Linked DNA regions of Anolis sagrei. The main gene of each other region encodes a partner of the protein of the gene in region 2 in a complex. Links are inferred from orthologs where the notes say so. Each region holds a gene or a part of one and is shown on either strand. Other genes may lie near its edges.

What was found. Proteins that work in one complex are often made in the same cells at the same time.
Region 1: SMC4 (region 2) and NCAPH share a complex: the UniProt entries of both Homo sapiens proteins name them as parts of the condensin complex. The link is inferred for Anolis sagrei from reciprocal best matches to the Homo sapiens genes SMC4 and NCAPH.

Annotation. Positions count from the first base shown.
Region 1 is NC_090027.1:23,074,890-23,082,033, reverse strand, and holds the start of NCAPH (condensin complex subunit 2), read right to left. Parts: upstream 3,046-7,144; 5' UTR 2,889-3,045; intron 2,691-2,888; exon of another isoform or gene 2,669-2,690; intron 1,034-2,668; exon of another isoform or gene 1,031-1,033; 5' UTR 1,029-1,030; coding exon 796-1,028; intron 1-795. Other genes in the region: REEP4 (receptor expression-enhancing protein 4), read right to left, coding at 7,027-7,086. UniProt on the Homo sapiens protein: Regulatory subunit of the condensin complex, a complex required for conversion of interphase chromatin into mitotic-like condense chromosomes.
Region 2 is NC_090023.1:246,701,046-246,708,392, reverse strand, and holds the start of SMC4 (structural maintenance of chromosomes protein 4), read right to left. Parts: upstream 3,104-7,347; 5' UTR 3,089-3,103; coding exon 2,849-3,088; intron 1-2,848. UniProt on the Homo sapiens protein: Central component of the condensin complex, a complex required for conversion of interphase chromatin into mitotic-like condense chromosomes.

The DNA.
Region 1 (7,144 bases), on a different chromosome or scaffold from region 2:
TGAATGTAATAATAACAATTAGAGAGCAAAATAATAAACGTAATAAAAATTATAATAGAGTAAAACAATAAATGTAATAATAACAATAGAGAACAATAATAAATGTATTAACAATAATAAAGAGAGTAAAATAATAAATGTAATAATAACAATAGGGTAAAATAATAGAGATAATAAAAATTAGTAGAGTAAATAAATGTAATATTACTAATAATAGAGTAAAATAATAAATGTAACAATAATAATAAATAGAGTAAAATAAATGTAATAATAATAATAATAATAACAGAGTAAAATAATAAATAACTTTGAGTCGAGTATAAGCCAAGGGGGGCTTTTTCAGCCTTAAAAAAGAGCTGAAAAACTCAGCTTACACTCGAGTATATACAGTAGCCAGCATTCCACACTGGCAGGTTTCTTTTGCGAGTTTGATTGTTTGCGGACTTGATTAATACGTTCTTTTTCGGTATCTCCAGGTCCTCCAGGACATCTGTATGGTAAACCTCTGCCATAGAGGACTTAAGAGATCACGAGGGAGATCACTTCTCTAGGCCTGCAGGTCCTGCAGCAGGATTCTATGGTAAACTTTCCAAAATAGACTGCAGAGTTGCATTGTATGGCTAAGATTTCTAAAGAGGTGTTCTCAGGTTTTCTTTATTCATTTTTTCCCTCTTTTAGAGGGATCTCGCTTTTTTAAACTTAGAGAATATGGAGAGCTGACTCTCCAGCATTCTACCGTAAGAAACAACTGCACACATATGAACATATTCGTTTTTTTCCAAAATCTGCTCTTACTTGTTGGAGGGAGATTGTATGGCCAGAGGCGAGTCAGTGCTAAACTGCAGGTCAACAATTCTGGAGCGCCGCCTCTGCTTCCTTTCTCGTTCGTCGTCATTGTCGGGGCAGTTCTCCAAGACAGGGGTCCCAGAGGAACTCAGTGGCTGCCGCCTGGTGCCAGGAGACACAAACACGCTGTCGGAAGAGGTGCTTCCTTTCCGCCCGGCCGATTGTGGGGTTGAGGAACTCATTGCTACTGGGAGACAGGAAGAATGCCATTTATCAAATCTATATTCCAGAGGGATGAAAAGGAGTCTTGGAGAAATCCTTGATTCTTTTTTAAACTACTTCCCTCTGCCTACATCGCACTTTGGGGGAGGCAACAGAACCAGCAAAGCCAGGAGAATGCTGTTTTTGACCTTTAAAGCCCTAAACCAGTCCTTCTCAACCTTCCTAATGCCGCGACCCTCGAATACAGTTCCTCATGTTGCAGTGACCCCCAACATAACATTATTTTCATTGCTATTTCATAACTGTAATTTTGCTACTGTTATGAATTGTAATGTAAATATTTGATATGCAGGATGTATTTTTATTCACTGGACCACATTTGGCACAAATAACCAATACGCCCAAATTTGAATACTGGTGGGGTTGAGATAGATCTTGTCATTTGGGAGTTGTAGTTGCTGGGATTTGTAGTTCACCTACAATCAAAGGGCATTCTGAACTCTACCAATGATTGAATTGAACCAATCTTGGCACACAGAACTCCCATGACCAACAGAAAATACTGGAAGGGTTTGTTAGGCATTGACCTTGAGTTTTGGAGTTGCAGTTCACCTACCTCCAGAGAGTACTCAAACAATGATGGATCTGGACCAAACTTGGCAACGAATATTCAATATGTTCAAATGTGAACACTGGTGGAGTTTGGGGAAAATAGGCTTAACATTTGGGAGTTGTAATTCCTGGAATTTATAGTTCACTTACAATCAAAGGTCATTCTGAACCTCACTGATATAACTGGGTCAAATTTTGCACAGAGAACCTGCATGACCAACTGTGTTTCAACTCTCCTTGGAGTTGGGTGGAAATGAGTAATAGAGTAATAGTGTAATCTGCATAGAGGTGGCACCTAACTCCAAAACTCCGGATGATCTCTCCCAGCAGTTTCATGTAGATGTTGAAGAGCATGGGAGACAAAATAGAGCCTTGCGGGACCCCACAGGTCAATGGCCAGGGGTCCAAGCAGGCATCTCCCAGCTTCACCATCTGGGATCGACCCTCCAGGAAGGATCGGAGCCACGACAAAACCGTGCCCCCAACACCCATCCCAGAGAGTTGGCCCAGAAGGATACCATGATTGATGGTATCGAAAGCCGCTGAGATGTCCAAGAGAACCAACAGAGTCACACTCCCCCTGTCCAGCTCTCTACGGAGGTCATCCACCATCCAAGGCGACCAAGGCTGTCTCGGTACCGTGACCAGGCCTGAAACCAGACTGTGATCTAGGTAGTTGGTGTCATCTAGAAAGCCCTGGAGCTGGGAGGCAACCACCTGCTCCAGCACTTGCCCAAAAAAGGAAGGTTGGAGATCGGTCTGAAATTGTTCAGCACCGTGGAGTCAAGGGAAACCTTTTTGAGGAGTGGACGCACCACCGCTTGTTTCAATTGAGACGGAAAAACCCCTTGCTCCAACGATGCATCAATATATTTGGTCATCAATATATTTAGATTGTTGTTTAGATGATTTTAATATGTTGTAAGCCACTTTTTATCCCGTGAGGGAGAAAAGCGGGATATAAATAAGAAGATGCCTGCCACAGATGGAGGCGAAACATCAGGAGAGAATGCTTCTGGAACACTGCCATACAGCCCGAAAAACTTACAGCAACCCTTTTGGCTATCATCGCTCGCGCCTTGTCCAATCAACACGCGCCCTGGAAGAGTTCCATATTTCAACACTCCCTATTGGCTGAGCCTTCCCCTTGTTGACCAATCAGAAACCTCTTCGCTTCCTTCTTTCAAACAAAGCGAAGGCCTGACTAGGCCGCAGTTCCCTTCCTCTCTTTCGAGCCTTTAATTCCCAAGGAACAGGCCTCTATTTACCTCTCCCGCCGGCCACACGAGTCTTCTTCGCCGCCGCTGCCCGTTCTGAAGCGACGAACCTGTCAAATGCGGACGAGTCTTTTCTACCGGCGCTTCTCTTGTTTGAATGTACCCGCGCTACGCACTACGCATGCGCCGGGGGACGTGACGTCAACACGCAGACGAGAAAGCGAGCTCCTAGTGGGCGGGGTTTATGCGAGACTTGTTTGTGAGAGCATAGACTTAGGAAAAAGTTAGAGACATACATTTATTTTCAGTTTCCGAGTTAAGAAAGCAATGAATGAATGAAAGCAGGTTTAGTATTGGGTTGTGAGTTTTCCGAGTGTTCCAGAAGCATTCTCTCCTGACGTTTCGGCCACATCTATGGCAGGCATCCTCAGAGCTTGTGAGGTCTGTGGAAATGAAGCAAGTAGACTGTAAAAATCAAATCAATGCAAAGTCCTACAAGAAGCACTGTCTGAATATCAAGCAAAAAGTGGGCGCTAGAAACAATATCATACGAATGCTGACCGGCACAACCTGGGGATCACAACCAGACACAGTGAAGACATCTGCCCTTGTGCTATGCTACTCTGCTGCTGAGTCTGCATGCCCAGTGTGGAACACATCTCACCACGCTAAAACAGTGGATGTGGCTCTTAATGAGACATGCCACATTATCACATGGTGTCTGCGCCCTACACCACTGGAGAAATTACCCTGTCTAGCCGGTATTGCACCACCTGACATCTGCCAGGAAGTAGCAGCCAATAGTGAAAGGACCATGACAGTGACATCTCCAGCTCATCCCCTGTTTCGGTATCAGCCAGCACGTCAACGACTTAAATCAAGAAATAGCTGATCTACAGAGGCACTCGCTGGGACACCTCAGCAAGCCAGAGTCCAAAAGTGGCAGGCTCAAACCCAGAATCTCAATCAATGGCTGATACCCAATGAGAGATTCCCCCTGGGCACACAGAAAACTGGGCAACTTGGAAGGCGCTGAACAGACTGCGCTCTGGCACCACGAGATGAAGAGCCAACCTTAGGAAATGGGGCTACAAAGTGGAATCCACAACATACGAGTGTGGAGAAGAGCAAACTACAGACCACCTGCTGCAATGCAACCTGAGTCCTGCCACATGCACCATGGAGGACCTTCTTGCGGCAACACCAGAGGCACTCCAGGTGGCCAGATACTGGTCAAAGGACATTTAATCAACTAACAAATTTGCAAAATCTGTGGGGGGTTTTTAATCTGTTTGTTTTGTTCTGTTAGAAATGTAATCCAATGGTATGGTTGCTGATGACACGATAAATAAATAAATATGTTTTAAGCCACTTTTTGTCCCGTGAGGGAGAAAAGCAGGATATAAATATGAGGATGCCTGGATATAAATATGGATATAAATATGAAGAGCAAACTACAGACCACCTGCTGCAATGCAACCTGAGCCCTGCCACATGCACAATGGAGGACCTTCTTGCAGCAACACCAGAGGCACTCCAAGGGGCCAGATACTGGTCAAAGGACATTTAATGGAATACCAAGTCTGCAAACTTTTTTGTTTGTTTGTTTGTTTTTAATGCAGTACAACTGTTTTGGTTCTCTCCTGACACGATAAAATAAAAAATAATGCAGAGTCAATCAGTGATGGTATCTGCATAGAGGTCTGCTGGAAAAGAGGCAACTGGACTGTATATATACTTGGGGAATGAGACCCAGGGTGGAAGAACTCTCATCTGTTTGAGGCAAGTGTGAATGTTGCCATTAGCAGCTGGTTGTTGTTATTTGTTCAGTTGCTTCTGACTCTTTGTGACCTCATGGACCAACCTACGTCAGAGCTCCCTGATGGCCATCACCACCCCAGTTCATTCAACGTCAAGCCAGTCACTTCAAGGATGCCATCCATCCCTCTTCCTTTTTCCTTCCATTTTCCCCAGCATCATTGTCTTCTCTAAGCTTTCCTGTCTTCTCATGATGTGGCCAAAGTACTTCATCTTGGCCTCTAATCTCCTTCCCTCCAATGAGCAATCGGGCTTTATTTCTTGAAGTATGGAGTGGTTGGATCTTCTCGCGGTCCAAGGCACTCTCAGAATTTTCCTCCAGCACCACAGTTCAAAAGCATCTATCTTTTTTCGCTCAGCCTTCCTTATGGTCCTGATCTCACATCTATAGGTTACTACTGGGAATATCATTGCTTTGACTAGGCGGATCTTTGTTGCCAGTGTGATGTCTCTACTCTTCACTATTTTATCGAGACTGGTCATTGCTCTCCTCCCAAGAAGGAAACGTCTTTTGATTTCCTAGCTGCAGTCTGCATCTGCGTTCATCTTCACGTCTAGAAATGCAAAGTCTGTCACTGCCGCCATGTTTTCTCCCTTGGCAGCTGGATTAGCATTGAATACCCTTGCAGCTACAAAGTCAATCATTGGGAGTATCTGCAAAGTGGTAGCCTGGCCATTGTTGCCTGGAGGCACCCTCTGTTTGGGAGGCATTCACTGGCACTTGATTGCTTGTTGTGTGAGTTCTCCTGTTTCTGAGTGGTGTTCTTTTCAGATACCCTCACAGATTGACTTTGCAGCTGCTAATGAAGCTGGCCAATGGCAACATTCACACTTGTCTCAAAGAGACGTTCTTTCTCCAACCCTGGGCATCATTCCACATATATATATGTACACACACACACACACACACACACATATACATTCCACTTGTTTCATATTTCCAACAGGTCTCTATGCAGATTGCCTCACTGATTGCAGCTAAAAGTCCAATAATATTATTATTTGTATTTTAATATAATTGATATTTATATTTATCTTCATATTTATAATAGCAATATTAAAATAAATAGCGTTGCTTCACCCACATTCCACTTTCTAAACAGAATAAACACAGAGCCAGCTTACAAGAAATTAATAAATGTATAACTTATTATTTGCATTTTAATCTTTGTCCTATATTTTTAATATATTTATTTTAATGGTATTGAGTTTGATCTGCCTTGAGGAAAGATACAAAAACTACTATTAACAATAACTAATATTATTTCTATATTAATATAAATTGATATAAAATGATTTAATTTATATTATTTATAATAAAAAGTAAAAGTAAAGCTTTACCCTGACATTAAGTCCAGTTGTGTCCAACTCTGGGGGTTGGTGCTCATCTCAATTTCTAAGCTGAAGAGGTGGTGTTATCCATAGACACCTCCAAGGTCGTGGGGCCAGCATGACTGTATGGAGCACTGTTACCTTCCCGCAGAAGCGGTACCTATTGATCAACTCACATTTGCATGTTTTCAAACTGCTAGGTTGGGAGAAGCTGGGTCTAACAGTGGGACCTCACCCTGCTCCCTGGATTTGAACTGCTGACTTTACAATCAGCAAATTCAACAGATTAACAGTTTAGCCCACTGCGACCCCTATTATTTATAATAGCAATATTAAAATAAATTGCCCTGAGTCACCCACATTCCATTTGCCAAACCAAATAAATACAGAGCCACCTTACAAGACAAAATGTGTTTATTTAAAAATAATATTAAAACATTACAAATACATTTAAGTGTCTGAGCCTGTGGTGGTCTTCAAGTAGTAGCCAAGTTAGTGTTTTCACAGAGAGAAGGGAATGTGAGCGATTGAGCCGGACCGAGGTCCTTCTCTGGCAAAAAGGGAACCCAAGAGGCTGCGGGTTTGCTTTGGTTTCTCATCAGCCACAGCTCCAAAACCCATGGAGTTTCGGGAAGCGAAGCCAGTCTCTGTGCCATTGGCACCGCTTCAAAAAGGCAGGCCGTTTCAATGGTGCAACCGTGTGCCTGATGCTGAGAAAAGGCACATGGCGAAAGGCAAGAGGCACAAAGAGAAGATGGGAAAAGGCACTTTGGATTAAAGGATGAACCCTGCAAAGTTTGGCCCCTTAGAAATTGCAGGGAACGAGGGAGGGACCCCTCGAGGCCTCCCCATTAAAAGCTACGGCCGTCCAGCAGCTGTTTCCTCTGTCGCCAAAGCCAGCAACACATCTTTGGCCCCCTTTGGATGTAGCTGCCTTTGAGGAAAAAGTCTGAAAGAAAGGCATTCCTCGGGCTGAAGGCGGCATCATGAGCAGCCAGGTGAACCCAATCGTCCTTAGACGCTTTTGTCAATGTGGCCTCTAGTTCTCCTGGTCGACCACCTTCTTCCTGGGGCGGCCGCGCACCAGCCTCACAGAGCCCTGCAAAGAGAGGTATGTCAGGTATTTTAATGATACAGACAACAACAACAACAACAAC
Region 2 (7,347 bases):
ACTTTTAAGTTTTTTACTCTGGTTACTTTTGGGTTTATATAGTATATTTATATACTGTCTTTCTCATTGGCAAGAATTCAATGCCACCATACATATAATAAAACAATAGCTAAACACTGGCATATAATTATAAATTAAAATCACTAAAACCATATAAAACACTAAGGCAAAGCATTAAATCCTAATATAAATATTAATTCTTACAAGTTTATATTGAGGTTGTTTTTATTCACCGTTTCTGATTTGGATTTTTCCTGTTTGCTTATTATGGCATTAAGGCAGGAATGGGCAAACTTTGGTCCTTCGGGTGTTTTGGACTTCAACTCCCAGAATTCCTAACAGCTACTGGCGGTTAGGAATTGTGAGAGTTGAAGTCCAAAACATCTGGAGAGTCGAAGTTTGCCCATGCTTGCATCAATGCCATAATAGACAAACAGGAAAAATATGAGATTGATACATGCTTGCTAATGTATTGTCGCATGCTTTAATGGTTGGAATCACTGGGTAGCTGTGAGTTTTCTGGGCTGTCTGGCCATGTTCCAGAAACACTCTCTCCTGACATTTCACCCACATATATGGCAGGCACCCTCACAGGTTGTGAGGCTTGTTGAAAACATTAAGGCTTGCCTTAATAGCACAACCGGGCAGTGTTTTAAGACTGCGGAAGGAGGTTCTGTTGAACTTCTGCCGTCACTAGGGTTGGTGTCACTCTGTGTGGTAACAAATAGTGTCGACCCTTTGGACCTCCTATTGGACCACACCAGACTCCATAGAGTGTTGTAGCTAAATTACTTGAGAATGTGACAAAATCAAACACTATAAGAAAGTTCAGTCTACTATGTTAATAATAAAATATATTGGGTTGTTGTAGGTTTTTTCGGGGTGTATGGCCATGTTGTAGAGGCGTTTTCTCCTGATGTTTTGCCTGCATCTATGGCAAGCATCCGGTCACTACCTCTGATGATGCTTGCCATAGATGCAGGCGAAACATCAGGAGAGAATGCCTCTAGAACATGGCCATACAGCCCGAAAAAACCTACAACAATCAGGTGATTCCGGCCATGTAAGCCTTCGACAATACATATAATATATTGTATGTACATATAATATTGATATTATAATGTAATACAATACTACTAACAATAAATAATATAATAATTATATATGTATTACATGTAATATTACTAATATTGCATTATAGTGGTACAGTACAATATAGTAATATATAATATTTTGCTATGCTAATAATATATTGGCCATGTTCTAGAGGCGTTTTCTTCTGACGTTTCGCCTGCATCTATGACAAGCATCCTCAGAGGCTTGTCAGTTGTGAGGCTTGTTGGAAACCACCCTGAGTCCCTTAAATAAATAGGGTGGGTTACAAATAAATTATTATTTTTTTATCATTATATTACAATTGGTAATTGGTAATTTTTTATAAAAAGTAGGACCAGTTTCTCTGCTGATTAAGGCTTATTCATTTTCATTTAGGAAACAGGTGAAGACTTGGTTATGGAGATAGGCATTCGACGAGTGAGCCAACACCCTGAGATATGGATGGAGGATGATGAGCAACGATTTTAGTATGACAGGTCGCAGGTTCGAATCAGGGGAGAGTCGGGTGAGCTCCCTCTATCAGCTCCAGCTCCTCATGCGGGGACATGAGAGAAGCCTCCCACAAGGATGATAAAAACATTAAAAAAAATCATCTGGGCATCCCCTGGGCAACGTCCTTGCAGACGGCCAATTCTCTCACACCAGAAGCGACTTGCAGCTTCTCAAGAAGCTCCTGACACGACAAACAAACAAAAAAAAGTATGATGACTGACCATTATAGTTATTGTATTGTCGAAGGCTTTCATGGCTGGAATCACTAGGTTCTTGTAGGTTTTTTCGGGCTATAGGGCCATGTTCTAGAGGCATTTCTCCTGACATTTCGCCTGCATCTATGGCAAGCATCCTCAGAGGTAGTGAGGTCTGTTGGAAACATGGCCCTATAGCCCGAAAAAACCTACAAGAACCTAATTATAGTTATTGATTGTAATTGCTGTTTTAATGTTTTACTGTAATATGTATTATGATGTTTTATTGATTGTATGTGATATTATGGTTGGAAACCGGTCTGAGTCCCTCAAGAGAGGTGAGAAGGCCGGTATACAAAACTTTTAAATAAATAAATCGACGAAAAATAATATTTTCAAAAATTAGAAAAAATATTATCTCCTGTGACAACCTTAAAAAAGCATAAGGTTTCTAATTGATTGTAATTGCTGTTTTAATGTTTTACTGTAATATGTATTATGTTGTTTTATTGATTTATGTGATATTATGGTTGGAAACCGGTCTGAGTCCCTCAAGAGAGGTGAGAAGGCTGGTATACAAAACTTTTAAATAAATAAATAAATAAAACGACGAAAAATAATATTTTCAAAAATTAGTAAAAATATTATCTCTTGTGACAACCTTAAAAAAGCATAAGGTTTCTAATTTCTCCCATTAAAAAAAATAGATAGATCCATAGAGGCAAATTGTGGCGGGGAAAAAGGGAAATTAAAGAATGCCGCCTTTTTCCTTTCTTTTAAATTCAGACTCCGATGGAAAACAACACCTCATCTTGTCTATTATTATTATTAATATTGATCATAATGATCATGATTATATTTTTCCCTTCAACCCCACAGAGAAGTCATAGACCCCATTTATGGGGGAAGTTTCTCTCCTCTGATTCGAGTTCCTCCAATATCTCCAGAAGCTGAAGCAATCAGTAATGGTCACAGTATGAGCAGCGATGATTTCCAAGCGTGGGGCTGCCTTCTCCCCCGCTCCCGGGATCCCAAGGCCCGCTTACCGTCCTGCGCCTCCCTTCAGAGCTTGCTCCCTCCGCTCGCTTCCTGCCTGCAGCCTTGGCGGCTTCCACACTCGAAAATGGCGCCCAAACGGCAAACTCGTAACGAAATTCGTTAGAAATGCGCAAAGCATGCTGGGGGAAAAGGAAAAGGGGCGGGGCTTCCACGGGTTTGAAAGGAGGCGAAAGAAGAAGGGAGGGGGGAGAGGAGGGAGGAAGAAAAACCCCCTCAAGCGCCGCCATCTTGTTTTCCCGTTAGCGAGCTGAAAGGCGGCTGTAGTGGCTGTAAAAATGTTTTCCACGTCAGGAATTAGCTTTTTTTCCCTCTGTCTTATTTTGACTCGTGGAATTGAGCAGGTATTCTTATTTATTTAATTTTGCTATCAAATCTAAATCGTATGGGTTGTTTTGCCGATATAAAGACGGTTTTTGACAGGTCGGCGCTCTGACGTCACGACGGGTGTGGGAGGGGGGAAGGAGCGAAGAGTGCGATCGGAGAGGAAATCTCGCGAGAAGTCGCTATAGAGACGGAGCGGCGTCGCCAACGCAGGGCTTTGGGCGCGAGCTGAAGTCGCAACAAGGCTCCTCTTGGAGAGACTCTGGATTCCCTATTTATTGGCTTCTACAGGTAAGGGAGCTGATTTTGAGGGTCTTCAGGGCGTAGGTCTCTGCACTGACATTCCACAATGGTTTACATATCTCTTAGTTTGGGTTGTTGTAGGTTTTTTCTGGCTATATGGCCATGTTCTACAGTAGTGGTTCTCAACCTGGGGTCCACAGATGTTTTTGGCCTACAACTCCCAGAAATCCCAGCCAGTTTACCAGCTGTTAGGATTTCTGGGAGTTGAAGGCCAAAAACATCTGAGGACCCCAGGTTGAGAACCACTGTTCTAGAGGCATTCTCTCCTGACGTTTCGCCTGCATCTGTGGCAAGCATCCTCAGAGGTAGTGAGGTCTGTTGGAACTAGGAAAAAGGGTTTATATGAGGAGTTTTATTTGTTGGATCAGTGGCTTAAATCTGGGTTTAGAAGGTTGCTTTTACATATTAATATATTGTTGTAAAATAACCTGAATCACCATTAGTGAAGGAAGATAGATGCTTTTGAACTGTGGTGTTGGAGGAAAGTTCTGAGAGTGCCTTGGACTGCGAGAAGATCCAACCAGTCCATCCTCCAGGAAATAAAGCTCATTGGAGGGAAGGATACTAGAGACAAAGTTGAAGTACTTTGGCCACATCATGAGGAGACAGGAAAGCCTAGAGAAGACAATTATGCTGGGGAAAGTGGAAGGTAAAAGGAAGAGGGGCCGACCAAGGGCAAGATGGATGGATGGCATCCTAGAAGTGACTGGACTGACCTTGAAGGAGCTGGGGGTGGTGACGGCCGATAGGGAGCTCTGGCGTGGGATGGTCCATGAGGTCACCAAGAGTCGGAGACCAAGGTAGAGACATCTCCAGCTTATCCCCTGTTTGGGTATCAGCCAGCACGTCAACGACTTAAATCTAGAAATAGTTTTCTAAGATCTACAGAGACACTCGCTGGAACACCTCAGCAAGCGAGAGTCCAAAAATGGCAGGCTCAAACCCAGCACCTCAACCAATGGCTGATACCCAATGAGAGACTCACTCCTGGGCACACAGAAGACTGGGTGACTTGGAAGGCACTGAACAGACTGCGCTCTGGCACCACGAGACGCAGAGCCAACCTTCAGAAATGGGGCTACAAAGTGGAATCCTCGACATGCGAGTGTGGAGAAGAGCAAACCACTGACCACCTGCTGCAATGCACCCTGAGTCCTGCTACATGCACAATGGAGGACCTTCTTGCAGCAACACCAGAGGCACTCCAAGTGGCCAGATACTAGTCAAAGGACATTTAACCAACTACCAAACTCACAAGTTTTGTATTTTTCTATTTGTTTGCTTTGGTCTGTTAGAAATGTAATATAATGGACTAGTTGCTCTGACACGACAAATAAAATAAATAAATAAGTCGGAGACGACTGAACGAATGAACAAAAATAACATATCTGTGGAATGACCAGGGTGGGACAAAGGACTCTTGTCTGCTGGAGATAGGCGTGAATGTTTCAACTGACCACCTTGATTGGCATTTGAGGGCCTGGCAGTGCCTGGGGCAATCTTTTGTTGAGAGGTGATTAGGTGTGTCTGATTCCCCCCCCCCCCCCCTGTTGTTTTGCTGTTGTAATTTTAGAGTTTTTTAATACTGGTATCCAGATTTTGTTCATATTCATGGTTTCCTCCTTTCTGTTGAAATTGTCCACATGCTTGTGGATTTCAATGGCTTCTCTGTGTAGTCTGACATGGTGGACAAGAGGGATCCTCTCACTTCTGCAGGAGTCTACCGTATACCATGCAGCTGGCAGAGGCGGCCCGAGGTAATTTTCAACGGTAAGCAAACAGTATTTTGGCACCCCCCACCCCCCAACCAATCACTGATATATATTTTCTGTTCGTCATGGGAGTTCTGTGTGCCATATTTAGTTCAATTCCATCATTGGTGGAGTTCAGAATGCTCTTTGATTGTAGGTGAACTATACATCCCAGTAACTACAACTCACATATGTCAAGGTCTATTTTCCCCCAAGAGCGCCTCAAGAGCGCCCCTGGGCAAAATCAACTATACTGCAAATGCTTATTTTGCGTAATGGGTTGAGCTGTCCTTGAGCTGTGGACAAGCCTACATAGGGACCACCAAACGCAGCGCCCAAACACGAATCAAGGAACATGAAAGACACTGCAGACTACTTCAGCCAGAGAAGTCAGACATAGCAGAGCACCTGATGAACCAACCTGGATACAACATATTATTTGAGAATATAGAAATGCTGGACCACTCTAACTACCATCATGTTTTCTGATGGTCTTTGGTGACCCCTCTAACACCCCCTTGCGACCCCCCTCAGGGGTCCCAACCCCCAGGTTGAGAAATGGTTCCTTACTATCTATCTCAGGCATGGACCAACTTTGGCCCTCCAGGTGTTTTGGACTGCAACTCCCACAATTCCTAACAGCCCAAGCCTGGCTTAGGTAGATAGAGCTGAAAGAGAGATATATAATCCCTACAAAACACTATCTACTATTTTGAAACTGGTTGCCTTTAAAAGTAATTTTCCAAACTCTATCCAGGCAAGTTACATTGCACAGGGCTTTTAAATGTATTCAAATGGCACTTGATTCCCTGCTCTAACCCACCCCACAGAAATTTCCTTTGCTATATTAGTTTTACTCTCGGTTGATCTGCTGAATTTGCTGAATGGTTGGCGGTTCCAGTCCGGGGAATGGGGTGAGCTCCTGCTGTTAGTCCCAGCTTCTGCAAACCTAGCAGTTTAAAAACATTCAAATGTGAGTAGATCAATAAGGTACCGCTCTGGAAGGATGGTAACCGAGTTCCTTGCAGTCATGGTGGCCAGATGACCTTGGAGGCATCTATGGACAACACTGACTCTTCAGCTTAGAAATGGAGATTGAGCACCCCCCCTCCCAGAGTTGGACACGACTAGACTAGACTAATGTCAAGGGGGAAAGCTTTACCTTTTAAAATGCTAGTTTGAACATTTTCAAGGCTGCCTTTCGCTTTAGACTGGCTCTTTATTTCAAATTGCTCTTAATCTGTCTTTAAAATAATATTTTTTGCTTGTAAAAAAACTTAAGAGTTTGGGTTTGCCAGTTCCAAGAGCCGACCATAGTTCCCTCATCTCTTCCATCATTCCGAAGGTGCAGGGAGATCTCAAGCAATTCCTAACAGCTTCTCTTAGGAATTGTGGGAGTTGAAGTCCAAAACACTGGGGGGGGGGGCAGGTTTGACCATGCCTGTTCTAGAGCAGCAGAAAACAAGGCTGTTCCCCCTTTTCTTCAGACCAAACCACATCTGATTGTTTTAACTTCCCTAAGAATGCTCTATGAAATCCATAGTGTCATCATAATTTGACAGGTAACTTGATGACATATACACACATAGTGGTACATTACATTTTTTGGATGGAGGTCTGGATATTTTGTGATCCCAGATGTGATAGTTCCTCCTCTGTGATCAGTTGACAGTTTTGACAGAAAATAGTTGTCCCTTTGGGACAAGGCGTTCTATCCCCTGCTGGATTATCCAGTCAGCTATCTCAACAGCTGTCATGGAGCCCCAGTGGTACAGTGGGTTAAACCTTTGTGCCGGCAGGACTGCTGACCAACAGGTCAGAGGTTCACATCCGGGGAGAGTGGATTGAGCTCCCTCTGTCAGCTCCAGCTCCCCATGCAGGGACATGAGAGAAGCCTCCCACAAGGACTGTAAAACATCCAGGCATCCCTGGGCAACGTCCTTGAAGATGGCCAATTCTCTCACACTTGACACAAAAAAGCCCCTATCATACTGTTTGATGGAAGAGCCATAAGTTATATCTCCTTGGCATTGTCATAGAATAGAATCACAGAGTTGGAAGAGATTCCAAGTGCCATCCAGCCCAACCTCCTTCTGAACAGTGACATACAA